3 linked regions of the Oreochromis niloticus genome follow. The protein of the gene in region 2 purifies or fractionates together with the protein of the main gene of each other region. This does not show direct contact. Links are inferred from orthologs where the notes say so. Each region holds a gene or a part of one and is shown on either strand. Other genes may lie near its edges.

Region 1 (10,851 bases), on a different chromosome or scaffold from region 2:
AAACCTAAACTATCTTAAGTCAGTAACGTGGACCTCTAGGCCATCTTATTGCTGTTGGTGCCTTTTTGGGGCATCTTTAGTGGTGAACCATGTTATTTATGGCTCAATGTGCAACCTTTAATTTGCACTAACTAGCTGAACAGATTCATAGAGCGTCTGTGCGAGTGGGTAATGCTGTGGGATACATACAAAGAGCTGGTAGCTGAAGGTGAGCAGCAGCTGAATGCTGTACACCTGCTCATTGGGCTTCAGAGGAAGCTGCAGCTGAAAGACCAGGAGGTCCAGTTTCCCATCCTGGTTCTGGTCCTCTTCTCTCACCTGCAAAGTGCAGTCACAGAAGAACAAAGCAGACTTTACTGTTATTAAAAGTAAAAAATCATGTCTGTCCACTGTTCACTGTTTAGTATAAACAGTAACAAACATGATGTTTATTATGCAGGAACGGGCACTGTTTTAAATCAGGGCTTGCTGCTTAATAAACCCAGAATTTGGGAGTTTTCCAGCTTTTCGATGACAGTAAACTCAAACTGAGCAGCAAAAGCAATGTGAATATGCTCACTTGGACTACAAGGAAATATAACATAATTGACAACGGATTAATTATTGTATGAAATAAGAAAATCAAGGTAATACCCATGTGAGGCCCGTCAGTAGATTTGTGATGGTATAGTACAGACTTACCTAATGTTTTTGTACATTTATTACAATTCGCTGTGGAGCTGAAAAAACAAAAAAATAAATGCCAAATCTGCAGCTCTTCTATACTGACTGATTTTTTGTGGCGGTGTTGTATCGACATGGGGACACCAAACATTGATATGGCATTAAATAAATTGAATAATTACAATGAACAAGAAGCTGCATCTCATGCACCACCATCCTGAGATAACCGAGCAAACTTTCCATTCAACTGGCTCACCTGAAAAACATTGCTTCACTGGACACACTCGCCTTAACAAAGCTGCCTCCTAATTCAAAGCAAGCTAGCTGCTCAGCCACATAAATGAAATTCAACAGCAACCTTGTGACATTGACAAAAAATACCCACAGTACTAAATAATAACATAAACACCTTAAAACCCATCAAGGTGGCATGCTAAGTTATCATTTAATGGTCACGAGCCTGTTTAGCAAACCGCTTCCATGAACATTTTAACATGGGAGTCTATGGAGACTGCCATACTCTTGGAGACGGCCCCAAAAGGGAATCAGTGGAACTGCATGTTTTTGGCACTTTGGCCTTAACTTCATTTTTCAGCCCCATAAGTTGCTGCTTGGGTAGGGCTGCTCGATTATGGCAAAAATGATAATCACAATTTTCCCTCTGTGAATGGTACTCATGGCCATTGATCAGTGTTCTTTGATCAGTGGGTTTTGGTCAGTGATTGTTGATCAATGGTCATGGGTATTTGCATAATTATGATTAAGGAACTGACCTCACAGCCCATTGTTCCTTCAGTGGGCTGGTTTCAGTCATTATGCAAATGTACTGTTTATAAGGTTTAGGGAAACCTGCAGTCAGCTGAGACTGAAGAAGTCACTTGGATGAGTGACGAAACGTTTCTCCCACAAAACGCTACGTCCAGATGAACAGATTCAACTTTTGGAGATAATCACAATTATTTTCACTGAAATTGAGATCTCGATTATTGGACGATATTTACTTAACAATAACAATGTATTGAATAATGGCTTTAAAGATTGTCAAAAAATAGTATAAAATAGTGTGCAAATACTGATTACAGTGGAAATGTTTGCAATATAAAAAATAAAAGAAAAATGTAAACATCTATGTTTAGTGAACTTCAAAATACTGCATAATATTTGATCCACGTCTGACTCCGCGAACCCATAATGTTTCCACACCACTGAAGTCGTTTTATCTCTCTTTTCAACCAACGGCATTCTTTCTTCAGCAGCCGTTATCCTCTCCTCTCCAAATAACTTCTGCTTAGCTTTCAGAGCTTCCCTCGGGTCCTCTTAATTGTTGTGACGCGTGTTCAAAACGCAGAGAGGTGCGCTCGATTTGCCACACGGAGCAGCGCAAGAGTAAAGCACGAGGGAGGTGCTAATAATCGGCTCAGTCATTTTTAATGATCGTTGAAAGCCCAGATCGTAATCGAGATTAAAATTCGATTAATTGAGCAGCCCTATGCTTGGGTGCTACTAATGAAAAACACTGACGCACTAACTAACTGGTTACATTTCTGCTGTTTCTGCTTTTTTCTTCAGAATAACCTTTTAGGGTATTTTCTGCACACTTATTAAAGTGAAAAGCACAATTCACACATACACAGAATGAGCACGAAAATGAAGCTCATGCCACGGCAAAGTTTCTTACTTCTAAATTATGATTTTAGCATTACCACTAATCACCTGTCTAATCTCATCTAATCCAATCCAGTCACCTGCTAACCAATCAACTGTGAACACAGTGCTTAAGTTCATTACCTAAATATCATGGTCCGCAGGTCTTTCCTCCCTGCAGCTGTCAGACTGTACAATCAAAACTGCTCCCAACAAACATAGAGGTTTACATCAGCGAAGTAACTTGCACTATTTTATCAACCGATTCACACTATAACCAGGGTTTGCCTCTTATCTGTATTTAATTTAATTTAATTTAATTTAATAACTGTACAGTACTCTGTTTTTGGTAACCATTCAACTTGATGTAAATATGTAAAAATTGTGTATGTTTCTGTTCTGTGTCTTGTGTACTGTTTATTTGTATGTGTCTTTCTTGCTGCTGTTACACCCAAATTTCCCCTTGTAGGACAATTAAAGGATTATTCTATATCTTCTATCAATTCTGCTGTAGTTTGTTACCAGAGAACTGATTTGAGTAGGGTGCTATGAACACATTCTTACAGTGACTGCAGGAATCCGGAGGTTGGCTCCTAGCATGTTGTTAAGTTGGGGGAAGGTGCTCCAGGCGACATATTCTCCCTGAGTACTGGTTGCTGCAACAAGCAGAGTCTGGTACTGGAATCTCACAACTGGCTGTTCCTCATAAGTGCTCCTTTTTATCCAAAAACCTAAAATTAAAAACAAGTTTGAAAACAGCGAGCACATATTTGTATCACTTATTATGACTCAAACTGTTCAGTTTTCTACAACTACCTACTTGGTGTAATTACAAACATATGCAAAATAAATCAGACTAACACCCATTTCAAAAAAATAAATAAATTGGTGAACCACTCCGTGGAGGTCTAGAGACTGGAGTTGAGATTATTGTGTGGGGAAATCCCACTAAACTCCAGTAAATCAGCAGTTTCTGAAACACCCAAATCAACCGGTCTGGCTCCAACAACCATGCTGTATTCAAAGTCAGTGAAAATAATAATAAATTACCCTTCTTAAATTATTCTCATTTAGAAAACAGAAGCAGCTTGATGATGTTACTGACGAATTCTGTTTTCAACTCTGTTGTCATTTTACACATGGACACCACCAACCACTTGTTTATCAGTTGTAATAATAAACATGAAAATAATTACTGCCTGTGATGCAATCAAACAACCACGCGCAATGCTTTCTGTGTGTTTTCTTTTTAAAGCAGACATGAATTAAGCGTTTTAATGTTTCACAGTCATACAAGAGCAATAAGAGAAACCAGGAGCCTGTGATTCCTGACGGAGATAAATGAAGTCTGATGAATGAATCTTAATACGTGTATAAAAGCTTCAATCTGGAGTTTTATCAGTTTAATTTAAAACTTCATGGCTTATGCCATGCTTTGATACCTAGCAGACTTGGGAGAATAGAGGAAGTGCCACAGGATTTTGCCTTCCCAGCTAACATTATTTACAACTATGGAGATCCCATTGCGTGGCGCAACCCTGGTGCTATTCCATGAGTGACGTGCAAACAAATATTTTGCTTCAATTAGCGTGGCATGCGTGGCTGCTAAAGGGTGTAGTTTTTAGAGCGCATGTAGAGTTTCTGGACCGTAAATGTACCTTGGCTCCTGTAAGCAACCAGCAGAGGCGGGATGTAGGTGAGGCACAGAACCACAACCAGGAACAGCGTGGCTTTCGTGCACACGCTGGTTTTGTACCGAATCAAAGCCGGGTGAGAGTACACCTCATAGGAAGCCATAAGTGTGCTGGAGGTATAAACAGCTCAATCTTCCAGATAGCAAAGATGCTAACCGACGGAAAAACCCTCGGAGGACCAGCGTGGGCAAACCGACAATAAAATGCTAAGGAAGCATAAATTATCCCTTAGCCATCCAACCGCTTCCGTAATGAAGTGACTCTAGTAGGGCATTGGTCAAAAAACACAGTGAATTAACGTGCTATTTATGTTAGCACCAAGTACCGCGCCATGTTCCTTCCTAGCTTAGCGTCTGGCGGTTGCCATGGCTGCCAGTGTTCGCGTTTGTGCTGCATTCACGCGATAGCAGCACGGTGAGCACACTTAGCAGAGGTCACACAAAACAGAAAAAAAAAACAGAAGCAGAAAAGCTTTGCATGCAGGGATTCCATGTTTTTGTGCTTACTTTGCATTTATTTCTTGTAATTTGAGGATACTTTGGGTCTCTGATTATCTTTTAGTTTTTCTTTCACGTTGTTTTGGGTCTCTTTGCGTCTCGGTCGTTTTGCATCTGGTCAATTTGCATCTGTTTCAGGCCACTTTTGCGTCTGTTTTAAGTTGCGAACTGAAAACAGACGCAAATACATGTCTGCGAACATGTCTGTTGTTATTTATTTATTTTTATTACTTTCTGTTCATTTTGCATCCCTTTAAGACTGTTTTGCATGCCAATCCAGATATTCTTTATTTTTCACTATGCAGTCACATAACGAAATTTTGTGTGGTAGTTCTCATCTTAAAACAAGACATTAGTTGCTACAAGATATGTAAATAATTATAAATATACTCAATAGAAAATTAATCAAAATTAAAAATAATTTTGTGTTTGTTACTATTATTATTATTTATTTTATTTTTATTTATGGATGGTTGGATGGGTTCATTATGCATTAACACGGATGTCAAACTCAAATTTTACATTGTGGCCCACATACAGATAGGTGGGCCAGACAAGTGAAACTCTGCTTATTGTCATTGACCAGAGGTTTAACTGCACATTTATAGCCCAAATAGTTACATGATAACGTTTTTCTAATGTAGTTAGTGAAAAAGTAACACCAGTCTTAATGACTCTGGGCTTAAATTGTAAAAAATTAATGTGTAAAATTACAGAAACAATTTTGCTATCTCACTGTCTAGACCAGGGGTCAGCAACCCTGGGCGCGAAGGGTTGACTGTTGGCACGACCATAGCTGGACTGGCCATCAGGTATATCGGGCATTTGCCCGGGCCGATGATTTTTTTTTTTTTTCTTGTACAATGAAACAATGAAAGGTGGTGGATTGGCCAGATGCTGGCCGATGTATAAAAATAAGTCAGTTGTTTGGTGGTGGCTATGGCGGAGCTTCCACAGAGGCCAGCGGGTGGATGAGGGAAAGGGGAGGCAGGAGGAGGAGAGACCGAGTGTCAGGTGAACTTAACTTCAGGTAAGAAGTTATGACCTGCAGTCTATCTGGGTCAGATATAAAACAAGTTTAGGTGGAGTTTATTTTCGTTGTGCTGACTTTTTACAGTCAGTTACAATAACTCGTACTGCGTACTAGCTAGCATGACGGATTTTCTATACAGCTGGGTGTGTGCTATGATGTTACTGATAGTGAACTTTATTTTATTCATAAGGTTAGTAGAGTTGCCAACTTTCCCCTAAAAAACGGAATCGTCTCGTATTCAGCTGAAAAGGAACACAGTTTGTCCCGGACTTCAGCTAGGATGAAAAAGACACAAAGCCGGAGTGTTTCTGTCTTTACGCTGTCAGCTGCCTCTTCTTCTCTCATTCTCTCCCCTCTCTCTCCTGTTGCTACTTCAATCATGAAACTGATCAATGATCAGCTGATCGGCTTTTCTCTCTTGTTTGTTTATCGCCCACTTTGCGCCAGAAAGAGGAAACCAGCGGATTTCGCGCTAAACAACAGCGGTACGTTTAAGCTTGATCAGCTGTTGTTCGAATTTATTTAATATTAATTTCTAGTATCAGCTGATGTTTGCTGGAGCCACAGCTGTAAAAGCTGCTGGTCATGATATCGGTTTGGATATGTGGTGAGAGGGAAACATGAAGATGAAACCAGGAGATGTCCTTACTGAATCATCAGAGCTGAACAGGTGATGGAGAAACAGGTTTACCTTTTAGGTGACATGAATGAGTTGAAGGGAAGTTATGAACTGTTTCTGAGAGACAAATAACACCAGGATCCTTTTCTAAGTAGCTGACAGCTGGTAACTGTGCAGGGGCGGGTCTAGCAAAGCTTTGGCAGGGGGGCCAGGTAGGGCATTAACAGGGAAAGGGGGGCACAAAGAAATACTTTTCTTTCTTATTCACATTTAAAATGTCTCGCTTTTAATAAATAATTATCTGAATCTTACAACCAAAGTTTTTATCAGATGTATAGAATGTATAGAAATCATACATATACCAACAAGACTGTACATCACTGTCACAAAAGCGTTTGTTTTCATTCAAAGGCTTTATGGCTTTTCCTATAATACCTGGTGGGCCGGTCTCTAGTCAAAATGCCCGGGCCGATTTTTTGTCCCAGTCCAGCCCTGGGCACGACACGCAGTGAATTAATCTGAGAAGGTGCATTAAAAAAATAAATGGCCGGGCCAGTGGCGCACATCACAAATTAGCTCGCATAGACACATTAATTGTGCCGCTTCTTAATGATGGTATCTTAGCTAACAACCCCAACTACCAGATTCAACTTGTAATTGGCTAAAAATAACTTAGCCTACCGGTGAGAGGGACGTTGCTAGCTGGCAGTTTTTTCAAGCGATGTTGAAATTTCCACATTCCGACACTTCAAATGCTTCAGGAGCTGCCCGCTCAGTGCAGCATCAGCACAGCGGAAATACACAGATACATCCGTAGACTCGAGACAGAATTCACAATGCGTTTTTGGGACTTTCAGGTGTATGGACCAATGTTTTTTTTTCTGATCAAACCAGAAAGCTTTAATGAGCAGCTGGATTTGTCTCACATTAACTGGCTGAGTTAATGCCAGGTAATGCGACATCAAAATGCAGCTGATTGAAATAAAAACCTCGACTCTGTGGGGTCAAAGTTTGCAGAAATACAGACACAGCTGGAATCCACAGCTGTGTGTGTTCATGGAGCTTGCATTTTCACCTGCTGGACATCACTACCTGACAAGTTTAACTGTCTTGAGAACATTGCAGAGGCCTTATTGACAGTATTTGGCTCTACATATCTGTGTGAGCAGATTTTCTCTCACATGAAGAGTGTCCTCGGGTAGCCGTCTGAATGCTGGACACTCGGAGACCTGTGTCTCTGAGTGGGAGACCAGAGATCACATTAACATGTGTATCCCTGTATTAACAAACATGCCATATTGGCCCAGTTCATTTTTCTTATCATTGTTGTGAGGAGACCATAAATAGCATTTGCGTTTTCTGTTGTACAGTTCATTTACTCTTATGGAGTTCTTGTTATGGATAAAAAGAGTCTTTTTTTGGTTTCAAAATAGCTGATAGCTGCCAACATCTGCAAACAGATATAATTCTATAAAGTTGTTCTATATAGTGTGTAACTGTCAGTGTTGGGTAAGTTACTTTAAATTAGTAACTTAGTTACATTACTAGTTACTTCTCTAAAAAAGTAACTCAGTTACTTCAAGTTACTCGTTACTTTCAAAGTAACTAGTTACTAGGGAAAGTAACTTTGGTTTTACTCAGAATTCTCTTGTTAATGTGTTGCTTCAGTCTTCTAGCTTGCTTACTTGCCACAAGTGCACTGTGCCACCTACCAATAGAAAGGAAAAAATAATGTGCACATTTCCACCAGAGAAATCCCACGCCTGGACCGTCGTTGACCGCCGCCATGATTCTAGCCTGCTTTTTACATCCAACACAAAAACTGCAGTCGTGGTGCTTTTGATTGTACTCAGAACTTGGAAATTCTGCCTTCTGAATAGGAAGATGTAGGTAACACCAGACTGCAGATGAGCTGCATACAGACCTGGACTGGGACAAAAAAATCGTCCCAGGCATTTTGACTAGAGACCGGCCCACCATTATAGGAAAAATCATAAAGCCTTTGAATGAAAACAAACGCTGTTGTGACAGTGATGTACACTGTTCTGATGGTATATATGTATCAATCTATCAATTGTTTGTTGTAAGACTCAGATAATTATTTTTTTAAAAGCGAGACATTTTAAATGAGAATAATAAAGAAAAGTATTTCCTTGTGCCCCCCTTTCCCTGTTAATGCCCTACCTGGCCCCCTGGCAACACTTTGCTAGACCCGCCCCTCCACAGTTACCAGCTGTCAGCTACGTAGAAAAGGATGCTGGTGTTATTTGTCTCTCAGAAACAGTTCATAACTTCCCTTCAACTCATTCATGTCACCTAAAAGGTAAACCTGTTTCTCCATCACCTGTTCAGCTCTGATGATTCAGTAAGGACATCTCCTGGTTTCATCTTCATGTTTCCCTCTCACCAGATAACCAAACCGATATCATGACCAGCAGCTTTACAGCTGTGGCTCCAGCAAACATCAGCTGATACTAGAAATTAATATTAAATAAATTCTAACAACAGCTGATCAAGCTTAAACGTGCTGCTGTTGTTTAACGCGACATCCGCTGGTTTCCTCTTTCTGGCGCAAAGTGGGCGATAAATAAACAAGAGAGAAAAGCCGATCAGCTGATCATTGATCAGTTTCGTGATTGAAGTAGAAACGGGAGAGAATGAGAGAAGAAGAGGCAGCTGTGCAGCTTCAGCTTTGTGTCTTTTTCATTGTAGCTGAAGTCCGGGACAAACTGTGTTCCTTTTCACCTCAGTACGAAACGCGTAATATTTTCTCTGAATACGAGACGATTCTGTTTTTTACGGGACGGTTGGCAACTCTAATAATTAACCATATGAACAAAATAAAGTTCAACATCAGTAACATAGCACCCACACAGCTGTATAGAAACTCCGTCATGCTAGCTAGCACGCAGTACGAAAATGTCAGCATACCGAAAATAAACTCCACCTAAACTTGGTTTATATCTGACTCCGATAGACTGCAGGTCATAACTTCTTACCTGAAGTTCAGTTCACCTGACACGCGGACCGGCGGCCGCTTCGGGTCTCTCCTCTTGCCTCCCTTTTCCTTCATCCACCTGCTGGCTTCCACCACTTGTTATTGAATCTGTGGAAGCTCCGCGATATCCACCACACGAAGTAACGAGTAACGAGCCTATCTAAATCCCAGTAACGAGTAACGCGTTCCTGGTTTTGGCATAATAACTAGTTACCGTGCTCGTTACCACAATAATAACGTAGTTACTGTAACGCGTTACTTAATAACGCGTTAGTCCCAACACTGGTAACTGTTAATATAGAGCGTTATTAAATTTATTGCTAATGCAAGTCATATGGCACATTGACTTCTGAGGAAATTTTAGATGCACTCCTCAACAGAAAGGTTGCCTACCCCTGGTCTAGACTGTTCTGTAATTATAAAACAGAATGTTTTGGCTGTTAAATTCTTTTTTTGTCTGTGGACTTATTGTAAATCAATAAATTGCTCTAGTAGAGCATCATTTAATTGCTTATTTGTTACTTAATTACTTTGTTATGAATAGCTATGAGGTGGGAAAAGCTGTAAAACGCATGAAAATACAGCTAAAAGTCCGAAATTTGTCATTTTTCACATTTTCCAAAGCCCCCTAATATGCCTGATTACACTCTTTGCCCGGCCCCGGACCTTTTGTTTGACACCCCTGCATTAGAAGCTTTCCTGCCGTTCGTAGCTGGACCGGGAGCACTTGAAGGCAGCACCACCACCACCACCAGCACCTCCCCTGTGTCAGACAGTGACGTCACCTCCCTGATAGACGGACAGCTGAAAGCTCCTGGCTCAGCGGGGTTGTTGACGTTTTGTTTTGACCGCTTTTGTCTGGATTTTTGGACATTATCCGCAGATTCAGAAGCCCGCCTTTCGACCCTGCCGTCACGCCTCAGTGCGGGGATCCAGCAAAGATGAAATGGATGTTTAAAGAGGACCATTCCCTCGGTAAAGGGGTTTGGATTGTTATGAAACGAGAGATCTTGTCATGTCACGCACCCTCCGTTCTGTGTCTTTCTCTCCGCATCCATTGTTGCCATCTCATCCCATATAGGTGTAGAAATGTATTGCTTGCCTCAGCATATAAATCCATGATGGCTGATGCTGCATGGCTAGCAACTAATGCTAACATTATTCTTGCAAGTGTGATGACCGCTGTCAAAATCGGGCTCACCTTTCAACACCCCTGATGCATCAAATCAGTCCTACCCTGAAATGTGTTTTCCCGTTGCATGCATGTTACTTCTTAACCAAAATGAATTTAAAATCCCCACAATTTAATGTTGCTTTGCCTTTATGTAATCCCTCTTTGAAACCCTGTGGTACTAACATGATTAAGGGCTGTCAGGGATTGTTGTGGCAAATTCGGCTGTATGCAGTAGGGCTACAACTTTTTCTGCTGGGTAACCCCTTCCAGGGTAATTTAACTAGGCCTCATAACTTAAATGGGTACTGAAGAGGGCTTCCTCAGTGATTCAGAGCTGGTAACACCTAACACAAACAGTGTAAGTGTTATTATGTTTATTAATAATGTGCCAGAATTTGGAACTGAGTTTGGTGTAAAGTTCTCTCCAAATTTAGATAGCTGAAACGGCTTTGCTCCTCAGCCTCTGTCTTCATACTTTCTTCAGATATCCTCGAGGTTCCTTTTTAAAGAAACACTTTCAAAAGTAGGC
Region 2 (10,757 bases):
TTAATATTATTAAAAAGTAGACAATTTAAGAAAAAAGAAAATTCTTTCTTTGCACCGTACTTACAGCTTATGTTTATCCAATCTGCCATAGTTAGAAAATCTGGGTTTCCACTCTTTGCCACATATGTGGCTGCAATCAAGTCTGCCTGTAGGTTAGTAACAGTCTCTCTAAAGAGGAAAGAAATTATATTAAATAACACATATATCTGCATATATACATTAGAGATGTAATCATGCAAAGCCACTGACCTCAGAAGACTACACTGAGTTAGATTTTGCCGGCTGACAGGCAGCAGACATCCTGATGTTGAATTCTCTCCAAACAGAACCGGTTTCATCCCAGCAGTGGAACAGAGTCCATCACTCACTGGAGGCCAGATCAGAAAATGGAGATGACTAGTTATCTTCAATGTAAGTCAACTTGCTTGGACTGAAATGTACAGTCAAGTAAAAAATAAAGTTTTCACAGGACTCTGTGAAATCCTGTGGAAAACTAAGTGCCCCCTTAATAGTTCCATAGTAATGAAGAGGGTAAGTAGCACCCAGGGGCTCCTAATCAAATACTTTTTATTAACTGCAATGCACCATTCAAAGTCCAGACCGCACCCTGATTGAAATGCTGTGACAGGACCTAAAGAGAGCGGTGCATAAACGAAGCCCAGAAGGCTGGACTAAAATTCTTTCACAATGATGTGAAAGACTGACCAAGTCATAAAGAAAATGATCACTTCAAGTTTTTGCTACTAAAAATGGCTCTGCATGCTACCGAATCATGAGATACATGCATTTTCACATAAATGCACAGAGTCCCGTGAAAACTTTATTTTTTATATGGCAGTGTGTAGTCCAATATTAGGTTACATGCAGTCATCTACTAATCAGCAATCTTTATGGGTTTTACCTGGTTTCCAAACATTAACTGATGTCCTTTTTATTAAGCTTGTGTTGTTGTCCAAAGCTTCCACGATTCCAGCAATAACAGGCCTTCCCACCTGGTAACCTGTCATTAAAAATGTGTACACATGTTATTCCCAGGTACTGTAAATACTTTATTTTATACAAAACCTCATCTTGGTCCTACCTGGGTTGCCCGAGTTTGGCTCACCAGAAAATTCTCCATTTAGAAATGTGGCAGAATACTTTGTGGTTAATGTTGCTGTTAAGACAAGAGAATACCAAAAATGTGTTAAAACTACGGGAAAATAAAACAATATTAGTCAGAACCATTAGTCGAGCTAAACAACAGCCAAGCGTTATAGCACTTACCACGACTATTTAAAATGATAGTCCCAATAGTCCGTGTCAGCGTGATGTCTGTGATGCCATTTTCTTTCCAGTAGAACTTGTAGTCCAGCGCTAACGTCAAATTTTCACAAACCAACATCTCATCTTTTGAAAAAAATGCCAAAACATGTCAACATTAAGGTCAATTAAACATTTGAGTTATGTTAGTAATGCAGTAATGTAATGTGGATACCTGTGGGTGCAACTGCATCTATTATGGAAATAAATGGACTCGTATCAGCAGCCACTTCATCCATTACATCCACCATGACGTCACCTGAAATACAAGAATAAATAAAAACCATTTTTAAACAGCTTCACATTCAGATAGCTTCAAAACACTTCACAGCTTTTATATAATTTGTTATATTTAAAAACTACCTCCTTTCCCATTCTTCACTTTAATGCTCAGATTTCCTGATAGTGTCTGTAGAGGATATCCAGTTGGACAGGAGAGTAGCAGAGTTGTACACTCATAGTTGAAATTTTTTAGAAATGCAACAGGAGCATTGTTTACACACAGTCCAAGGACCTTCTGTTGAACAGAACAGTTGTTACATTAAGTGTTAGCTGTCACTGCTTTGGAATACTTACATGTAAACAATCCTATAAAAACAGCATTAAATACACGCTAACACTAACCTGAGGAACAGTGAAGTATTGGCCATTTAATGTGAAAATTGGATTTCCTTGAATATAAACATCAACTGGGACTGGAGCTGACAAAACTGGACTTTGGAAGGATGGACCAGGCTTAGGTGCACTAGACAGGTGAAAAGACAAATGACGATAACATGACACATGAAATTCCTTGGTAAGTTGCAAGACTGAAATATATTTAAACCTTTCTCACATTGTGCCTCCTTTGTAAAAGTGACCAAGGTAAGGGTTGTTTTCAGGGGGAGAGTTGACACATAAAAATGGAAACCAATCTGGGGAATTTTCTGTGGACTGCACAGAACACTGGTAATCTGAAGCAGGAGAGACCTGCCCACCAAAGGGCCCTGGCAGACACTGGGTTGAGAACAGCTTCAAATCTTCATTGGAACAATCCTGTTGAGGGGGAAATCACAAATTAATCATTTGATGATCACTACAGAAGAAAATATTTGTCTGAAATCCACTCCCGTCTTTTAAAAAATATTACCTTGTCACAACAGCAGAGTATGTCACACGCTCCAGATGTCAAGTCACAAGGACAAGGGCCCAGGGGCTGGTACACTTGGTTTGGAATAACTGTTTTATTATCTGAAATGGAGACGTCATTTTTTGTTGTTTGAAAAAAATCTTTTAAATGAAAGCACATTACAGTGAGAAACAAGTTTCATTTGAATTACCAGATCCAGGATTAGCAGGAACCAACAGGGCATGTATCTTGGCCTGGATCAGCAGCGATGCCTGGGGTGTACCGTCCACACAGGCAGACACCTGAAGGGCTTCCAGGATGCACAATGCTCTTTGACAGCAGTCTGTGTTTGCATCATTGTTGCCACATAAATGCAGACTTTGATTCAGTCTTAGATGAACTTGAACTGCAGTCTGGGACACCAAATGAGACAAATAAGACCATGAAGAAAATGTATGTCCAAGGATCAACTTGATCAAATTAAATGTGTGTTTTAATTAACTCAGGTGCTTGTGTCTTACTTCATCATTGTTGCATCTGTTCACTGTGCCTGCCAGCCTTGCTTGCTAGTGCAAGAGTCTTTAGCTGGCTGCTAACTGTCCACACCAGATAAAGGTTGGAGTTGAGTAGTCTAAAAAATTACCTTCAACCTCTTTTTCCTAACCACTTTTCCTTAATCACTATGGAAAGCTTCGTGTGGTCAAGGAAAAGAGTGAAGATGAGCGTATAAGGACTCAGGAAAATAGACTTTATCAGTGCGACAGTGGATGCCTAAAACACTGTTATCTAGAATTTGGACTAGAGTGTAACCCCAATGTATCTTTACCTTATTTTTACAGGCAGGTCATATAAACAAGAACCACCAGTGAAAATGTCACTTCATTGCAAATGCAATATCGCTTCACTGGTTTGAATTTTAAAGAAAGAAAACAAAAACGTATAGTCTATATAATACATTTCTTCTCTTCTTATTTTTCTGATCAAGAGTGATTTGGTGAAAATCCTTTTATTCTCCTCATTTATAGATTTCTAGGTCTTCCATTCATCACTTATCAGAGCTGAACATAATTAAAAATTAATAAATAAAGATCCTAATTCAACAGGAGGCATTACTGATGTAAATTGAACTACAGCAAACTTAAAAGCATTTTGAAACAGTAAATATAACTTATAATCATCATTTATATTCTTTTTAAGTGCGTTTTGTTGATCGTTTTCATGAATGGTGGGATGGTGCATCCCTAGGAATTATTGAATGAAATTTTATAGGCTGGCTTGAGAGAGCCACCACATCATCCTCTCCTCACTGTACATCTACATTTTTAACTCAGATCAATTTATTAATTAATATCTGAAATAAATGTCATGTTTCTAACAACTCTGGTGTGTATTTTTTTCCATTTTATGACACAAAAAGGACAGGACAAGTCTCTTACCTTTCCCACCTGCTCCCTAGTGAGGACCCAATTTGTTTCTTCTGCTACACATGATGGAGAACCAATGTTTCCTGTTAAAAGGAAACCATCATCAACAACCAAATACGTCCAAAATTAACACTACTACTACTAAATTCTTCGCATTTTTACGAGTTTCTAAGCTGGAAATTTTTAAATGCAGTTAACTAATTAACCTAAAGACACTTATTTTTTCGTGTCTAAACTAGTACAACAATATCACCGCCAGACCATGTGGGGGGGGACCAAAGAGGATATGTGTCCTGGAGCTTTTACCTGTTGTGTTGGATGGAGAAACTGTCCTCAGGCTAAGAGAGATACCCGAGGTGTTTCCCAGCAAAACTGCAGTGACCACTGGTCCCGTTGTAATCACAAAGGAAGGCTGGAAAACTTTCAAAACAGTTACATACGTCACATATTGGCTACAAAAATTCACTAAAAAATTAGCAACTGCTCGTTTCTCAGGTAGGTTTTGCGAAGGTACCGTCAGCTATTTTAAAGCAAATTAAATATAAGGTCTTACCGACAATGTTTTGAGTGTAAGCCAAGCAAGCGAAGAGTAAAACACGTGTAAAGAACGAAGAATATAATAATACGACCACATTAGCCATTTGGTTCGCCTCAGGAAGTCGACATATTTGTAAACTGTTCGTGATGTCCTAGCAACGTCCTTAACCAATCACAGCCCACAACGAGACCGGAGAGAGTCTGGCTTGACGGAAACAGTTAAATAAAGAAGAGCGACATCATCTGGTCAGGAGTGGTTTATACTTACAGGCTCAGAACTTCACTGGCCTCAGGTGAAGAAAAGCATCACAGAATATTATATTAAATTATATTGATTGATTGGTTTTATTTTTCTCCAATACATCCCACGATTCTGTGGATACAAAGTACCAGAATAATGAGAACTAAAAAGTCCGTCAGTAACATCACAAAATCAACTAGAAACACTTAAAATATTAACAATATATAGATCAACATTTAGTATATATAGTATATACACAGTATATATATATATATACAGTATATATAATATTTAGCAAAAGGGACAGTTATTAAAGATGTGTCACACTAGTGTGTGTCACAAAACAAAACTACACATAAAATCCAATAAAAACAAATTTGTCACTATTTTTTCTGTTTGTTTGTTTTTTGTTGTTGTTTTGTTGTTGTTTAATTGTTTATTTGTTTTTATTTTTGCAAACCAGTACATTTTAAATTTGTAAATCTATGGATAACAACAATAACACTTCGGCCTCTAGGTGGCAGCATGTGGCTGCAAGTCTGCGATGACAGCTGCTCTAAAAAAAAAGTAGAAGAAGAGTCTTGTCACGTGACTTGTAAACCAACGTGCTCGTTGAGAGTCTGAAAACAGTACACATCTGTACTGTGGAATCGGATGATGATGCTGGGGTTTGAAGAGCTGCTGAGAAGTCTGCAGGACTGTGTGATCTCCGAGAATGAAGCAGCTGAGAACGTCAGCCCGACTCTGAGCCAGTTTCTTCAGAAACTGTCTGAATCCTCCAGGTAGCAGCTGCACCTCAGCCACACAGCTGTTTTCTAAAACACTGCATGCTGTTCTGAAAAGTTTGAATGAATAAGTGCGCTTGCGTGAACAGGAGCGGCGTGAAGAGATGTAAGGAGCGCTGCTTGGAGGAAGCTGTCCAGCTGCTGAGACAACTTTCTGAAGCACAGCTGTCTGGTTTAGAAAACGACCATCTCACACTTCTCGTCAGGCTGCTCATATCCACGCAGCTGCAGATGGTCGGCATCTCCACAGCTTGTCGCAAAGTGGACCAGGTTGGCTTTACTTTGTGTCAGATGCGGATGTTCGCTGCTTAAAGACAGAAAGGCACATTTACACGTTTATTTTATTCCTTCACAGATGTTGCAACATTTAGCAAAGGTGGACCACCAGCTTGTTTTTAGAGAGACCCGTGAGTGTTTCCACTCCGTAGTCCACAGTGACCAGGTACAGAGTCCTCACTTTGCTTTGCTTTGTCGCACATTTCCATAAAAGGACTGCAGCTAACTTTGACCTTGTCTTCATTTCAGATTTTGTGTTTTGAGGATTTGCAAAGAGGTCAGAACAAATTTAAACTTACATTTATTTTTAGTAAGTTGCCACCTTTAACTTACATGTTTAACTGTTGTTCTTGTGTGTATATATACACACTGTCTGCAGCTTGTATGTTCCTGGAAGACAGCACTGTTGGCCGTGAGGTGTGGAGAGAGTCGTACATGTCCATGTTGAACAAAGTGTCTGAGTTACTCCCTGTCGCACTGCAGCAAGAATCCCTGAGAGATGGACCGCTGTGCTACATTACAGTCAAGGTACGCGAGGAGCAGTGTGGATCATCATCAACTTACTGCGTGATCTCTGTCACTGACCGGAGAACTGTAATCTCTGCAGGTGTGTTTGCAGATATTCCAGCTGTTGTCCAGTGAAGTTGCTCCTCTGGTGTGGGATGAGGAACAGAGAGCCCCAGCAGTGGAAAAGATCCTGCAGACCCTTATGGCCATAATACTTGGACAGGTTTCTAAAGAATTCATTAATCACTCACTCACTCACTTACGGGATAAATGTCAGCTGTTACAGCTTAATGCTGACTGTGTCCTGTTGTGCAGTGCTGCAACAGAGACACTCGTCTTCTTGCCGGCACCGCTGTGGCCATGCTGATCAACACAGCATCAGAGAACGGAGCTGGAGGAGCTGCAGCCTGGAGTCTGCTACAGGTCTCTCACTTGGGTATGGAAGCAGTGACATGAATGTAGAAGCAAATCAAGCACTGGAATTTGAACAGATATTTACCCAAGCGAACAATCTACCAGTATTTGTATTGTAATATATGTTGCACTATTTCTAAAAATTGATCAGAAACTATGCACACAATGTGTTATCACAGATTCTACAGCACACTGTAAGTGTGTGGACACTCGTTGCTGAATAGCTCCTATTTCCTGTTATTTCTCAGAGCCCTGGCTGCTGGCTGTCGGTGTTCTCCGGGTGCAGTGCGACCCTGCAGAGAAGGACGGAGTGGGCAGGCTGGCTGTGTGCAGAGGTCTCCTGACCTGCTGTCGACCAAACATTTTGCTCAGTTCACATGAGGACGCCCCAGAAGTAAATCTACCTGAAGTCCACCTCAGAGCATGCATTGTGGTTGTGCTTGCTTTCATTACCAACCTTTTCTCTTTAGAATTGCCTGCTGCTGCACGGTTTGTTTCCTCTGGTGTTTACTTTGTGCGAGGAGAAGCTGGATTGTCACTACTTTGCCTTCGAAGGTGAGTAGCTGTCTAAGCTGTTTGTTCATGCTTTGCAACACTTCTGTCACCCACATAAACCTGAGGTGTTGTTGCAGTGTTAAACTTATGGCTGAAGAAGGTGAAAGAATATCTGGCTGATCTGTGGAAGGTGACACATGCTCGCCTTCTTCCTGACAACTGCACTCTGCTGCAGCAGCTCATTCACCTCATCTGGACCAATGCAGAAAGCCCGGTGAGAACAGAACTACTATTATTAAGTGAAGTGGGACGTTTTTTAATATTGGAACTCTTCGATAGACAAAATTGGCAATATGGAAACAATTACAGAGGAGAGGAGTAGGATAGGCAGAGGAAAGGGGAGCAGAAAAAATATCCTATCATATCCTACTCCTCTCCTCTGTAATTCTTTAGTAACCATGTTTGTAGATTAGTCAACGTACTTGTATATTTTTATGTCTGATAAACCACAGACGTAAAATAGACTGTAATTGGAATCAAATTTGTTTATATTCCATCTTAGTTGATGTCATATTAGCTGCTCAGTTAATAAAGTCATATTACAGCCAGGGTTGTCGTACTGTGCGTTTGCAGGTGGACGGGGTGTCAGAAACTGCTCGCAGTGCATTTTTTCAGCTGCTGGATCTCTATGAGATGGACTGTAAACAGTTCTGTGACACAAAGAGGGCTCTTTATCTTACTCTGCTCGAGCGAATAATGAAGCTACCTTGGGAAGCCAAAGCTAAATATCATCGCCTGTGCGCCTTGCTGCCGTATCTGGGTACTGACAAGGTGAGAATTTAAGGGTAGTTACAGTGTTAATTAATGTTGTGAGCTAGTCATTATTGGTCATGTCTTTGTTTACTTTTTCTGCCTTCCTGTCTTCAGCTGCTGGATCAGTGTCCTAAGATATCCAGTCATCTCCTGAAGTGCTTGTCTACCAATCACCTGGCACCGTGTGGGTCAGAGCTTTATAAAAGTCTGATCCAGCAGCAGAGGCAAGAGCTGTGTGATGGCTCTTCTTCACACGCGGAGCTGGATCTGGCGAGTCACTGGGCACGGCGTTGGCAATCTGTCCTTCATGAGGCGCTGACATCTGAAGTGCCTCTTCTACAGAACAACAGTTCAACGCAGTTATTACCCTGCACCTTCCAGGTGTTCCCCTCTGCTGTGGACCACATGCTGGCCTCCCTGGACCCATACACCCCAGGTCACCTCCATGCCTGGGCCTGCATCTTGAGCTCTTATCGAGCTGTAACTGGAGACTCCCCCTGGGCCCTTCAGGGTAGTTCCACCCTAGAGACCCTTCAGCTAGCTCTAGGATCTGCAGATGACAAAGTACGACTTGCTGCTCTCAGTCTGCTCTGCTGCTGCCCAAAGACCAAAGACACACCAACTCCAGAGGAGATGGCGATCATGAGAACGTTCATACCTCAGAATCTAAACTGCGACTCCTCGCCATTTCGGCAACATTTTCAGGCTGGAGTGAAGAAGTTTCTGATTCGGATCAGAGATGGCTGTTTGGCATATGTCAGAGGACAGAAGGGCAAAAAGAAAGGAGAATCCTCTCACTCGGAAAGGACACAGGATCTCTTGGATCAGGGAATAGGTGAGAAAATCATTTATCACACTGTATATGTGGTCTTTTTTGAACGAGACCTTTCTAGTTCCCCATTTTTGTCCTTAGACTATACTAGAGTAGCTTTGCATGCTTCACAATTCAAAATAATCCCCATTTAACCTACACCAGGGCTCTCAGGTGGTCCTCTGTATGAAACAAACTCTCCTCCCTTTAAGGCGATCGTTCCTTTAAGCCAGCTTCTTCTGATTGATAGGCAGTCCCAAACAGGCTTGAACAGTGGGTAGGTGAGTGACTTCTTCTTTTCATATGTCATAAAGGATTTGTGGAATGGCTGAGTCAGCTTCCATACACCTATCTGGCACCAGGACACAGTTATCAGAGAAAGAAGACGGCATTGCTGTTGGTCTCAGCAGTGCTGGAGACCTGCACAGACACCTGGAGCCCAGACAGGAAGAAGGGACAACCTCCGGGTACGTTTGGAAAATGTGATGCTGATATTCTACATTTAACAGATTTTTTTCCCTCCTGTTTTTTATTGTTTTTTGGCTTTTAATGATATCTGTGGAACATGTTTGCAGCAAATATGAGTTCTCTCATTAGCTGTGCCAGACAGAGAGGACAGTGGGATTTCTTCTGCAGGACGAAACAGCTAGTACTTCTCAGCTGTTTAGAAGATTCAACAAATGAGGTAGAGATGCCGTTTCTTACCTTGAAATTTTCATTAGTTTAAATCAATCGAAGCTGAATATAAGGAATTTCTTCCCCCCCAGATTCGGGAGCTCGCTGCTGGGTTATTGTTGAGATTTTTTCCACCCAGTTTTCTAGATGATCTCACTGAAGTGCTGCATACGAGAACTAAACAGCTTCTACGCAGTCCCCGGGTGCAGGAGGCCCAAATGGGAGCACTGATGATGAAGATCCTCCTTCAGAAGTAAGAACTGCTCTCTAAAGGCCGTCGTTCTTATTAAATAATTTTTTTTTGCATGTGGATTCAAAGCACAAGCTATTAATTAATTAAGAGTTACAGTCTATTAGACAGCGGTGTGTTTTGGTCCCCTGCAATATGTTAATACTGCATTCCCAATGCTACAGTATTGTTCGACCTTTTTTTGCTTTTGGAGAATTGAAATGATAAGATTCTTTAAATGGTGCTGTAGGTACATAAACTCCTGATTGTGTAGACGCAGTTGGCAGTCAAAGGAACAATTTGCATTGCCTGCTGATAATACAAAGGAACTTTAGAAAATGCTTCACAGGTAGTGTGATTTCTTTGGCAGGGGAAGTTACTGAACACCCAAACTCTGTGAACAAACATAAATCAAGGTTAACTCAGATTAGTAATATAGTTGCTAAAATAAAAAGACATTTCCACTAGAAGAACGTGTGATTTTTTTAATTTACAGACGTACCAGAAGCTTTGTTCTCACCTCACGCTATTTGGTGTGATGCTTCAAAGTAAGACCTTAATAAGAGCCAGCTCACTCAAAACAGAGCTGCCACTGCTCATTGAAGAACAGTGCAGAAAGGATGCATGCCAGGCTGTCATGGATGAGAGTGGAGGACAGTCTGGCGTGCAGTTTAGTCTTTTATATAAGAAACATTTGTGGCTTGAAAATACTTCTTTGTATTCACAGGTAAGATGAACTAAGGAGCGACAGTATTATGAAACCAGACATGCAATGTTTTACATAAAAACAGAGCTTTGTTTTTAGCATTAAAACGTGTAATGTACATCAAACTGGAACAAACTGCTTAAAAATCCCTTTCATCACTGATGACATTTGTTCTTTGTATATTTTGGACTCGGATTGGAGTATTTAGATTCACTGTGGTGTGATGAATTGTGCCGTTTTTTTTCTGGGGACACCAGTAAGAAAAGTAATTACCATTTTTTTTTTGTCACTGTAGATCAAAACACCAGTGTGAGGACTGCAGGCTGAACAGCAGGGAAAGTAACTCAAAGGCCTTCGGCATGGTTAAAGTCCTGGTGAAGGAGCTCGAGGAGCACTATCTAACAGCCAAGGCAGACATGATGCTTGCTGCCAGA
Region 3 (10,059 bases), on a different chromosome or scaffold from region 2:
ACAGGAAGAAACCTAAGCACTTGCTCATAGGGGGGTTCTATGATTGTTGGGTTACAGTATAAAGTGTCCTGAGGCAGCTGTTGTTGTGATTTGGTGCTATATAAATAAAATTGAATTGAATTGCTGCGACTGGCTGGGGGCAGATACAAAGCACCGACACTAGGTGCTGCTGCAGACACCAGAACAGCTGTAACGGTGTATGGGGGTCACATTTCGGTTATACCTGCAGGCTGAAGGGACACTCCTGTGTGATGACTCTTGCCCAGTCTGGCTGGGAGCCCGAGCTCATGGCGATCTCATCAGGAGTAGCGAGTCCCTGCAAGATCCCATAAATCTGCGAGCGCAGCTCTGAGCAGTCGTTGGCTGGAGAGCTTGTAGCACAGAGAGAAAGAAATTTAAAAAAAAGAAAAGAAAAGCGGAGGATGTTGTTTGTTATTTTAGCGACATCTCCACTTGTCCTAATGTAACATAACTAGAACCACAGACAACAGAGGCAAAAAGAAATAATGCAGACTCACCTGAAGGTGCAGCCGGTGATGATGTTGTGCGTGAAGAGGATGGGTGCTCGCGTGGTTGTATCAGGGGAACAGGTCCCACTTTGTGACACCCCCAGTGAGGTCAGCTGGCTCACTGTCAAGGAGCCAAACTTCGTAGAAGCTTGGCAGATAAATTAAAAGATACAATCTTAAAATTGTAGTTAGGATACAGGCATCGCTTCCTTTAAAAAGCGACCGATGAGAGGAGATCCAACTTTAAGTCCGACTGCAGGCTTCAGTATTGCGGGAGTGGGACTTGTTTTGGTCAGCTGAAAGAGAAAAACTACATTACTTGGCACATTAAAGTGTTTAAATTGAGTTTTTTTTAATTCTTTTGGCTCTACCTGGAACTCTACAGAGTGCGTCTGGAGCAACAGCTGACTCTGATTCACATCGGCTAGGGTTACGTCAACCGTTGCGCTTGTGAGTTCCCCTCTGCCGGTGTAAAATATGACAAACTTCACCTGCAGGAAAGGCAGAAACAGCAGAGTCAACTTCAATGTTTCGTCACACACTTGTGGTTCACCACACAGTTGTGCACTCGTCACCTTCTGCACTGCATTAATACAGGAGCTGTTCCGCAGCGCTGGTGAAGGCCACACTGACAGGTTGGTCACTGGGATCTAAAACAGTCAGGAAAACATTAGCCTGTAGGAATAATCAATAACTGTGAAATATTAGCACGACAACAACTATTAACTCCTATTTTTGCCTTTCCAGTGTACTATATGTACTATAGACAAAGTATTAGAGATTTTAAGTGGAATATCAAAGCGCATTTACAACAGTAATGTACGACTTACCAGAAAATCTGACACTGGTGCCATCTCAGCTTTTGGGATCTGTCACAGAATACCTGATATTAGTCGATCTGTGGTGAGAGTCTCACAGCTAATCATGCACTTAAAAGGATTTAGTGCAAATGGACTCGCTGACCTTGATGAGATGCAGGTCGGAGAAGTAGGAGTTGGCGCTGAGGCTTGGATCTGTGATGCATGACTGAGGAGTCACCATCCGTGCACAAGACAGAGACACAGACCTCAAGAACTCTACAAGAAGAGGAGAAATTAAGGTGGATAAAATGTGGCATAGGAAACAGTGTGTTGTTGTAATAATTCTGCATGTGTGTACCAACAGTACAAAATGAGCAGAATGTGGTTGTGTGCAAGCCCTTTCCCCGACAAAGTCGTCACCTGGATGGCAGCACACATCACTCTAACACCTGTAAACAACTGTTCAGTAGTGATGGAGCCTTAACACATGTGCAAGTTTTCCTCTGAGTACCCCCACATGCACACAGATTGGTGTGGTGTCTCTGTACGGACTGTTGTCGTGACAAGAGAGCTGAGTGTGAAATCAGTCTACATTCCTACTGTCACCTATGGCAACAAGCAGAAAGGATGATATTGTGGCGTTTCCTCTGAACAGTGTTTGGGCTCAGCCTGGGACACAATGAGGAGATTGGTCCTTGATCAGGAGGGGCTAAGAGAAGAGTCAGTTAAAGGATACTTGCTGGCCTCCTCCTAGGTGAGGTGTTTTGGGCACGTGCTACTGAGAGGAAACCCCGGAGCAGACGAAGGACATATTAGAGAGATTACATCTCTCAGCTTCTCTGGGATGTTAATTGTAACCGACCTGTTGCCAATTAATCTCATTAGCAGTGAGAAGCTGAAGCATTTCTTTTGAAGCATTACACAACTTTTTTAGTCTTTTCTCTAACTTTCCTTTAGCTGGACTGTTGCATTCTGTTTTCATTCACATTTTACAGAGTGTTAACTTTTCTGGAAAGGCTACTCTACTCAGGGACTGTTGGATGTCCTTCAGGAAGCATGGAGAACTATTCCTGAATACTACTTAAAGAAGTTTGCCTAAGACAGTCCAGACTGTGCTGAAGAATAAAAGTGTTCAATATTGTACAAAATTTGTTATATATGGTTGTCACATGGTTTAATAAATCCCTGCACCTTTTCCCCCCATTTTCCTCGCAAAATATAAAGAAATGAGGGGCAGCTCGAGACTTTTTCACAGCAGTATGATGGGTAAAAATGTCTCCTGTATTCCCCAGTATAAAAGGGTGTCATGTATACTGCCACAAACCCACACGTCTGAGTTGGGCTACTGTGTCTAAGACGTCTGTAGAAAATATCATAAACTGATTCTCCCAAAACTGTCCAAAGTAAATATGAAGAAGCAACTCTAGATGGCAGGGCTGCACTTAAAACGGTGTAACAGCACTTTGCCACTCAACAGTTCAACATTTAACTTTTTATGTGATCTTACTTGCAGGGTTGCGGTCGATGCAAAAAGCTGACACTGCCGGTCCTGGAGATGGCTGACGGAGGAGACCCCGCACAGAGGAGTTGGGGAAATATGTCTGGATGACATCATCAACCTACAGAAATGCAGTTGTGATGATTTCAAATATCTAAAGTTTGTTTATTTTAATTATTTAAGTCTGCGTAAAACTTACCATGTAAAAACTTCTGCTGGGTCCTACAGTTGGAGTCTTCTGTGGAGAGAAGTGGTACGAGTCCCCTAACACTGGATGCTGAGGTTGGGCTGGGAAAAACTGGGACGTGTTATCTGTTTGGAGGTTGGAAAACGATAATGATATATGTTGACCTTACGTGTGATTAAAAAAAAAAAGTGATGCCATTTACCTGAAGGCTGGACACAAAACAGAGAGTCAGTCACTGTGATAAGAGACGAATCCACATTGGCTCTGAACATCAGCCATTTCTCAACGCAAACACCTGATCTGTAAAGTAAAAAATGGTCTTTTAAATGTTGAAGCTGTGTACCACACGTGTTATAGAGCTAACGACCAACACTCACACGGCTCTCTGCGGACATCCAGTGAAGACAGCGCTCAAGTTAGCGAGCCCACAGTCAGCTGTGTCACAGCAGCAGCCGATGTCACAGAAACCAGGAGTTAAATCACAGAGACACGCTGGAAAACATCAGGAAAAAGGTTGGACATGCTTGGGAGTACTTATGTTAGGTGTGGTGTCACCGTCAGATCCACAAAGTCTAGCTTGAGTAACTAGCGGGAAGCCTGATCGAAGCAACAAAAAGACTTAATCAGCCCTACAAACGATGTAGCTGGAGGTGTAATTTACCCTGTGGAGACAACGTGGGCTGGACGGTGGTTGCAGTTGGACTCTCGGTGGCCGCAGTGGGCGCTTCGGTCGCGGACAGTGTCGTGTTTACCGTGGAGCTCACGGTGGCAAGGGTAGGGACCTCCGTGGTGTTGACACCAGTGGAGTTCACGGCCTCCGTACCGCTCGGAGCAGGGGTGGCAGAGCTGAACGGCTCCCCATTAGCGGGGGTGGCACTGATGGAGGAAGTCCCCACTGGGTCTGTAGCTCCGTGTGCCAGACGTCCACATATGACCGTCAATATAAGGGGTAAAAAACACCACTGGATGGAAGACATTTCCTCTAAAGAGCCATGAAAAAGGAGCGGGAATATGCGCACTTTACCCGAAGAGTTTCTCCGGTGTCTCGCGTCACAGTAAAATTAAATTAAAGATAAAATAAAATTTGTCTTTATGAGTTAAACACGTTAGAAAACGTAGCAAGAAGGGTACAAGCTAAAAATCGACACATAATCGGGGTGCAAGCGTCTTGTAACTAAGGAAGTTCTCATTGAGACTTCCGTTTCTACGAGAGAATTACCGTAAAGCACGTAGAAGAGAAAACGCGGTCATTTCAGGTTAATGAATTCACAACAATCAGTAAACAAGCAAGGTTAACATAGTTAACTAAAATCAAACTGAAAACTATAACTAAATCTGAAAGAAGAATATTTTTTGATTGAGATATTATTAAAAACTAGACTTAGAATATTTGTTAATAACTGTTTTTAATAATTTAACCAACACAGAATACACGTGTAACGGTGTAATGATTGACACATGCAGCATGAAGACACATTGGGGCGTATGTTTATCTGAGTAAAGTTTTTATATTATAATAGCTGTTTTGGAGTTCTATAATCTCACCTCTCTCAAATACCTCCCATCAAAGAAACTAAAACTAATACTGAAACTAAGATAACCACATGGGATAAGTACATTTACTCAGGGCCTTCTTGATATGATGTTCTTTTGCTTCCCTGGCCGCTGTGTCTTTGGGCATCTGTGTTCGCTCTGTGTTGTAGCATCCTGATGACACCCAGTTTGTGCTCCAGTGGATGATGAGAGTCAAACCTTAAAAACTGATCCGTATGCGTAGGTTTACTGTACATATCAACTTTCAAATGTCCCCCATTACTGATGGAAATGTCACAGTCTAAGAACGCCAGCCTTGTTGACTGACTAAATGTTTCTCCCGCTAAAAACGCTACATCCAGATGAACACAATCAATTTTGGGGGATTAATTTCTGTACCACTTTATTATTGCAACTGGAGATTATTTTAATTTTAATCCTGCAAAAAATATGAGGGGAGACCACACATAGTCTTCACAATGTATTTCAACTAAATAAAGAAATTATATAAATAAAGAAACTATGTGACTGTCAGTATGTCTGAGTGGATGGTAAATGTATGAGTGTGTGCATATGGAACAAAAGCAGATCATAAAAGCTCTGCCAGCCACTGTTAAAGACAGTGTTAGAGGATCTGATAGCTGCTCTTGTCCCTCTGAGCCAAGCAGAGCCTGCACAGGTGTAGTGAAATGTGAGCCAGGTCAGCTCCACCCACCAATTTCAGTCAAAGAAATAAAATGGCACAACCCGAACAGAAGAGAACCAACAGGACAACCTCATGGGTCACACATAAGTTTTTTCCCCCCCTCTTTATGTTAGGTTAATGTGTGGATCTCTTGCAGTGTAAAATCTGCACTGGATGGATATAAGCAAGAACTGCTTCAGAGTTCACATCTTCCTGTGTTTTATATGAGAAAACTCAGTGGTCCCTCATCATCAACTTAAAGACATTTGCATGCTTATGCACTTTTTTCACTGCATGATTACACAAAGATAGCTGTTTTGTCAGCAGGCCACTTCTTCTTATATATAAGACCCATAAACACAGAGCTACCAATAAACTATCCCTTAATGGATTAGTCTACAGCAGTGACCATTTTTGTATTTATGTGGTAGTAGCATCATGCTCTTGGGCTGTTTTGCTGCCAGTGATACTGGTGCATTGCACAAACTTGCCAGCAGGGCCACTGATTTCAATAAACTATTAATTCTGCCAAGAAGAACGGTCAGACATTCAGTCTGAATTATACCAGATGCCAGCTGATAGCTACAAACAGTGTCTGGTTAAGGTGTAACTTGATAAAGGACATTAACCAAATATTAGTGGATGTGTATGTATATATTTGAGCCTGTATGTACAATTCTGACCCTTGGATTAAAGAAAATCCCAAATAAATTCAAACATGTGCACTCAATTCTAGTTTTTTAAAATCATTTAAGATGCATGCTGTACAATCAGTTCAAAGAAATCATTAAAAGCCCACAATTACCATGAGACCAACCCTGGTGATGTCATGTGTAATACATTATCTTGTGTGCACATGATAAATAATTACCACACACAAGATAATAAGTTGTTCAAGGAAATATTTGTGTGCACAAGATAAAAAACAATCAGCTCGCATTAGCCTCGCTCAGATAAGCTCAGATCATTAAAAACTATGCCAAAGTGCATAAAATGTAAACGTTTAACTCCACGTTGGACTTTTCTCACTGCAAAATAGAGTAGAACAAAATGACACATCTGTACTGCTGTCTTCTACTACTTATTGAATAGTAATATTTTGAAAACCCGACTCTGCTCTGACTCCTTCTTTGTTCAGTCATCTCTTGCTGTGCTGTAATTTTTCTCTGAGACATCAAGAACACAAAGAACTTTTTGTTAATAATGCATCTCCTTGTGAACCACCATGTATTTTGCTACTTTTCATTTATGCAGGGAGTCCTTTTTCCGTCAAAATGGCCTCCATCTGCCAGCAATTTTGGAAATCCACGTGGAATACAATGGAATGAAGCTTTTATGGAAAGATATAAAATTAAAATAACTTCTTTTAGTTCGATTTTAGGCAGGTCAACTGAAAACTACCATGCAAATCTCAGCAGAAAATGAGCAATCACTTAGCCTTGACTTATTATTGCCTGTCAGTGGGGTCGACCGTATGCAGGATTAGCAGAGCACAAGGTCAGTGGCGTGCTCACCTGCACCACAGCACACTTCAGCTACTGTGCAGATCTGAAATGCAGAGCCTCTAAAAAGCACAGCCCCAATCTCAAGTTTATTCACTATTACCCTCTGTTTTAATCTTTAATGGTTTCAGGCTTTTGATTTATTAATGAAATCTCATTTGACTGCTGTTTCCTTTCCAGAAATACATACCTGCTCTGATGGAGCTGCGCAGCAGGCAGCCAAGAGAAGCAAACACGAGCGATTCCCCAGATGTGAATGTGGGGAGTTGCACAGATTTAACACAGCTGTTGTTTTACTTACTCAGCCTACATCTGGATCTAAGACGGTGAAAAACATTTTGTCCTTTATCTGCAGAACTGCATGTTGGAATGCTTAAAGCATGTATGTTACAGGCTTTATGTGTATATGTAGGGATATTTTTTATGAAATAATTTTCTGAAGCTGAAAATCATAAAAGGATATCCCTTAGAAATGGAATAGAAATATCAGTAAACACAGCCCAACATGCTTTCCAGGCTGAACAGGAATAAATGTTTCAGATAAGGTGCTAAAAGCATGCTCCACGGTCTCAGTACAGAGTCCATGCCAGCTCTAAAGCCTTCGTATAAAACCTGTTTGTGCTTGGCTCTGTTTTTCATGTTAAGTAAAAATATTTAGTATGATTGACTGAAGAAATTCTTAAAACTAGAAACAAGTTCTCTTTATTTTTCATGACTAGAGCATCCACTGTCTCCAGAAGCCAGAAACACAACCAAATTTAGTGAGCTGCATCTGTCAGATGTGAGTCAGCTTATTAAGACTTGCTGCTGTTAATAATTTATGCAGAATGTGGGTTACTGAGCAGTCAAAGGACAAAACCTGCTTACCTTACCTGGTAAAAGGACTTAGAATTTAACTGATCAGACAGTTATAAATGAAAGGGGGACATTCACCCTCCCAACTAAAAAAGAAACAGAGCTATAACAACAACATTGTCAGGGGGCTGGGTCTGTGATCCAGCATTTTGAGTTATTTGGTATTTTTTGATTACTTATGAGATAATGTCAAGTTCTGAGGTAATTATTAGTTTGTCTTAGTTTAGGTTTAGTCTAGTTCATGTTATCGTCCATGTCTCCTTGTTTATGTGTCTTTTTCTGTTTGTCATGTGTTATCTCCTTGTCTGTGTAGGTTCCCCATGTGTCTCTCTCCTCTGTGTCGCTCTTTCTCTCTTGCCCCCCCTCTCTGTCTCTTGTTTCAAGTTTGCGTGTCCCAGTTCATATCTGTCCATATTTCCTGTTTTATTTTGAAAGTCTTGTTTCCATGTTCAGTGTGTTTAGTTTTGCTTCCCATGTGGCATCATGTAATTTGTGTCAGCTGTGTTTCCCCAGGTGTTGCCACTTTCCTCATTATCCTTCTGTGCATTTAAGTTCTCATTTTCCTTCTGTTTAGTTGGGTTGTCTGCTTATCTCATGTGATGTCACTGCAAGTCTCGCTTTTATTTTTCATGACACGTTCTATGTCATAGTTTTCATATTTAGTTTTAGTTTAGCCCAGTTTTAGTTTTGTTTTTCCCCAACTCACCTTGTCTTCTTTTTGCTTTGAATATCAGCCTCAATAAACAGCTCGCATTCTGTTAAGATTAAGTTTTTTTCTCCCATGTCTGCTTTTGGGTCCACACCTCAAACACGCCTGCTGCGCTGCAACAACATGTTTGACACCCCTGTTTGAACCAGAGCAGACGCCCCCTGCTGGTCATTACACAGAATCCAGGGTTAATGCACTTCAGCATTGGCTTCTTCTTTAAGACATGGAAACGATATCCTTCTGTCATGATTGGTACTACTGATGAAAATTACTGGCCACCACTTATAACAGTTTGTTAAGTAATATAATTTTGTTATATTGTGCAGATTGAAAGATCAGGAAACTGAAAATCTGATGTGAAAATGAGCATTTTGATAGTAATGTGAAATTATATGATATGAAATTGCACACTGTGAAAACAAGAATGAGCACATAACATTTCTTAATCGTAAACAGGGTTATTTCCTGTTTTTTCAATGAATCCTCGCATCAAAACTTTAAATAATGAATAATTATAAATGAATTTTATACTACTAATACTACTACACTGCTATTGGGTATTTCTGCTCTTATCACTATGTTTCTGCCCAAAGACAAATTTATGTGCACACTGGAGGCAGGCACGGATCGTTGTACTGTGTCCAGAGGAGGATTCAAATCCACCTCAAGCATAACTGGTTGTGGTAAAGCAGAAAAACTAGTTGTATTCAAGTCAGGAAGGGTACTATTAATGAAGATATAAGTGTTCCATCAATTTTCCATTAAAAAACACATTTCTTTGCTGAATTTATGAAAAATGCCAATGATGACAGTTTGACAGGGATAAAACAAAATGATTCCTTATTCCTCCAGAACCCAGACCTCGACATTATTGAGGCAGTGTGGGATTATCTTGACAGAACAGAAGTCAGCCAACATCCAAAGAAGAGCTTTGAATGTTCTTCAAGAAGCCTGGAGAACTATTCCTGAAGACTATAAGAAATCACAAAAAGCTGCCTGAGAGAGTTCAGGCTTTGTTGAGAAATAAAGGCGGTCACACCCAATATTAGCTTTCAGACTCTGTTTTTGTCTTATGTATTTCGTTGTAATGAATTTTTGCACAGTTTTTAAATAACTAACTGCTGCACCCATTTTCAATTTTCCTAAAAATATAAGTGAAAATGAAGACTAACTCAAGACTTTTGCAAAGTACTGTAAGTTTGTGCAATAGTACTGATGCACGGTATACAGGAACTGTAACTTATCTGATGTTTCCTCCATGTATAGACAGACACTAGAACTTCTAATATAAATAGGATGGACAGAAATTGTTAGGAAGCTGTGCAGTTCAGGGTGTTTCAAAGTTACAAATTTCTCAACTTTCTCAGATAGTTATTATAAAAACATTCTTGAACCCCATCGAGACAGTTCAACTTATTTACAGTGAAAATATTGTTTCTTTCGCTGGCAGGATATTAACTCTGGAAATCCTGGAATGTAAAGTCTAAACACTTTCATCTGGCTGAATAGATAACATGAATGTAAGTCCATATAAATCTCCAGCAGCGTGTCTAGACGAGAACATTTTTCTTCTTTGCAAGAAAATAAAAAATGAAATGAGATCTCTGCCATGCACTCTTTTACTGGAATTAGGTCAGCATTTTGTTTACTTTGAAGGGTCAAAGTCCAAATTTGCTTTTGTAAAGATTGGCCACAAATTTTCTGATCGTGATTAAAAAGTGGTTGTTTTTTAAAATTGTGATTAAAAAGTGCAAATCAATCAACACAACTATGTTAAAAGA

Evidence for each region.
Region 1: the proteins of tctn2 (region 2) and tmem231 purify together in Homo sapiens (affinity purification with mass spectrometry; 3 studies listed by BioGRID and IntAct, counting the BioPlex papers as one, with this or other methods). This does not show direct contact. The link is inferred for Oreochromis niloticus from reciprocal best matches to the Homo sapiens genes TCTN2 and TMEM231.
Region 3: the proteins of tctn2 (region 2) and tectonic-3 purify together in Homo sapiens (affinity purification with mass spectrometry; 3 studies listed by BioGRID and IntAct, with this or other methods). This does not show direct contact. The link is inferred for Oreochromis niloticus from reciprocal best matches to the Homo sapiens genes TCTN2 and TCTN3.

The regions. Positions count from the first base shown.
Region 1 is NC_031972.2:4,915,922-4,926,772, reverse strand, and holds the start of tmem231 (transmembrane protein 231), read right to left. Parts: upstream 4,395-10,851; 5' UTR 4,105-4,394; coding exon 3,966-4,104; intron 3,039-3,965; coding exon 2,872-3,038; intron 319-2,871; coding exon 190-318; intron 1-189. Other genes in the region: gabarapl2 (gamma-aminobutyric acid receptor-associated protein-like 2), read left to right, coding at 10,090-10,123. UniProt on the Homo sapiens protein: Transmembrane component of the tectonic-like complex, a complex localized at the transition zone of primary cilia and acting as a barrier that prevents diffusion of transmembrane proteins between the cilia and plasma membranes.
Region 2 is NC_031977.2:18,496,210-18,506,966, reverse strand, and holds the start of tctn2 (tectonic-2), read right to left. Parts: upstream 4,602-10,757; 5' UTR 4,476-4,601; coding exon 4,388-4,475; intron 4,255-4,387; coding exon 4,141-4,254; intron 3,918-4,140; coding exon 3,847-3,917; intron 2,824-3,846; coding exon 2,622-2,823; intron 2,533-2,621; coding exon 2,432-2,532; intron 2,338-2,431; coding exon 2,138-2,337; intron 2,048-2,137; coding exon 1,927-2,047; intron 1,820-1,926; coding exon 1,666-1,819; intron 1,562-1,665; coding exon 1,478-1,561; intron 1,390-1,477; coding exon 1,267-1,389; intron 1,157-1,266; coding exon 1,082-1,156; intron 1,001-1,081; coding exon 902-1,000; intron 368-901; coding exon 250-367; intron 169-249; coding exon 65-168; intron 1-64. Other genes in the region: si:ch211-225b11.4 (thyroid adenoma-associated protein homolog), read left to right, coding at 5,267-5,394, 5,487-5,667, 5,753-5,839, 5,923-5,950, 6,053-6,201, 6,281-6,403, 6,496-6,616, 6,843-6,988 and 8 more.
Region 3 is NC_031973.2:16,459,405-16,469,463, reverse strand, and holds the start of tectonic-3, read right to left. Parts: upstream 4,214-10,059; 5' UTR 3,972-4,213; coding exon 3,656-3,971; intron 3,487-3,655; coding exon 3,372-3,486; intron 3,295-3,371; coding exon 3,197-3,294; intron 3,120-3,196; coding exon 3,007-3,119; intron 2,929-3,006; coding exon 2,817-2,928; intron 1,586-2,816; coding exon 1,473-1,585; intron 1,379-1,472; coding exon 1,340-1,378; intron 1,160-1,339; coding exon 1,085-1,159; intron 1,001-1,084; coding exon 881-1,000; intron 806-880; coding exon 707-805; intron 623-706; coding exon 519-622; intron 372-518; coding exon 224-371; intron 1-223.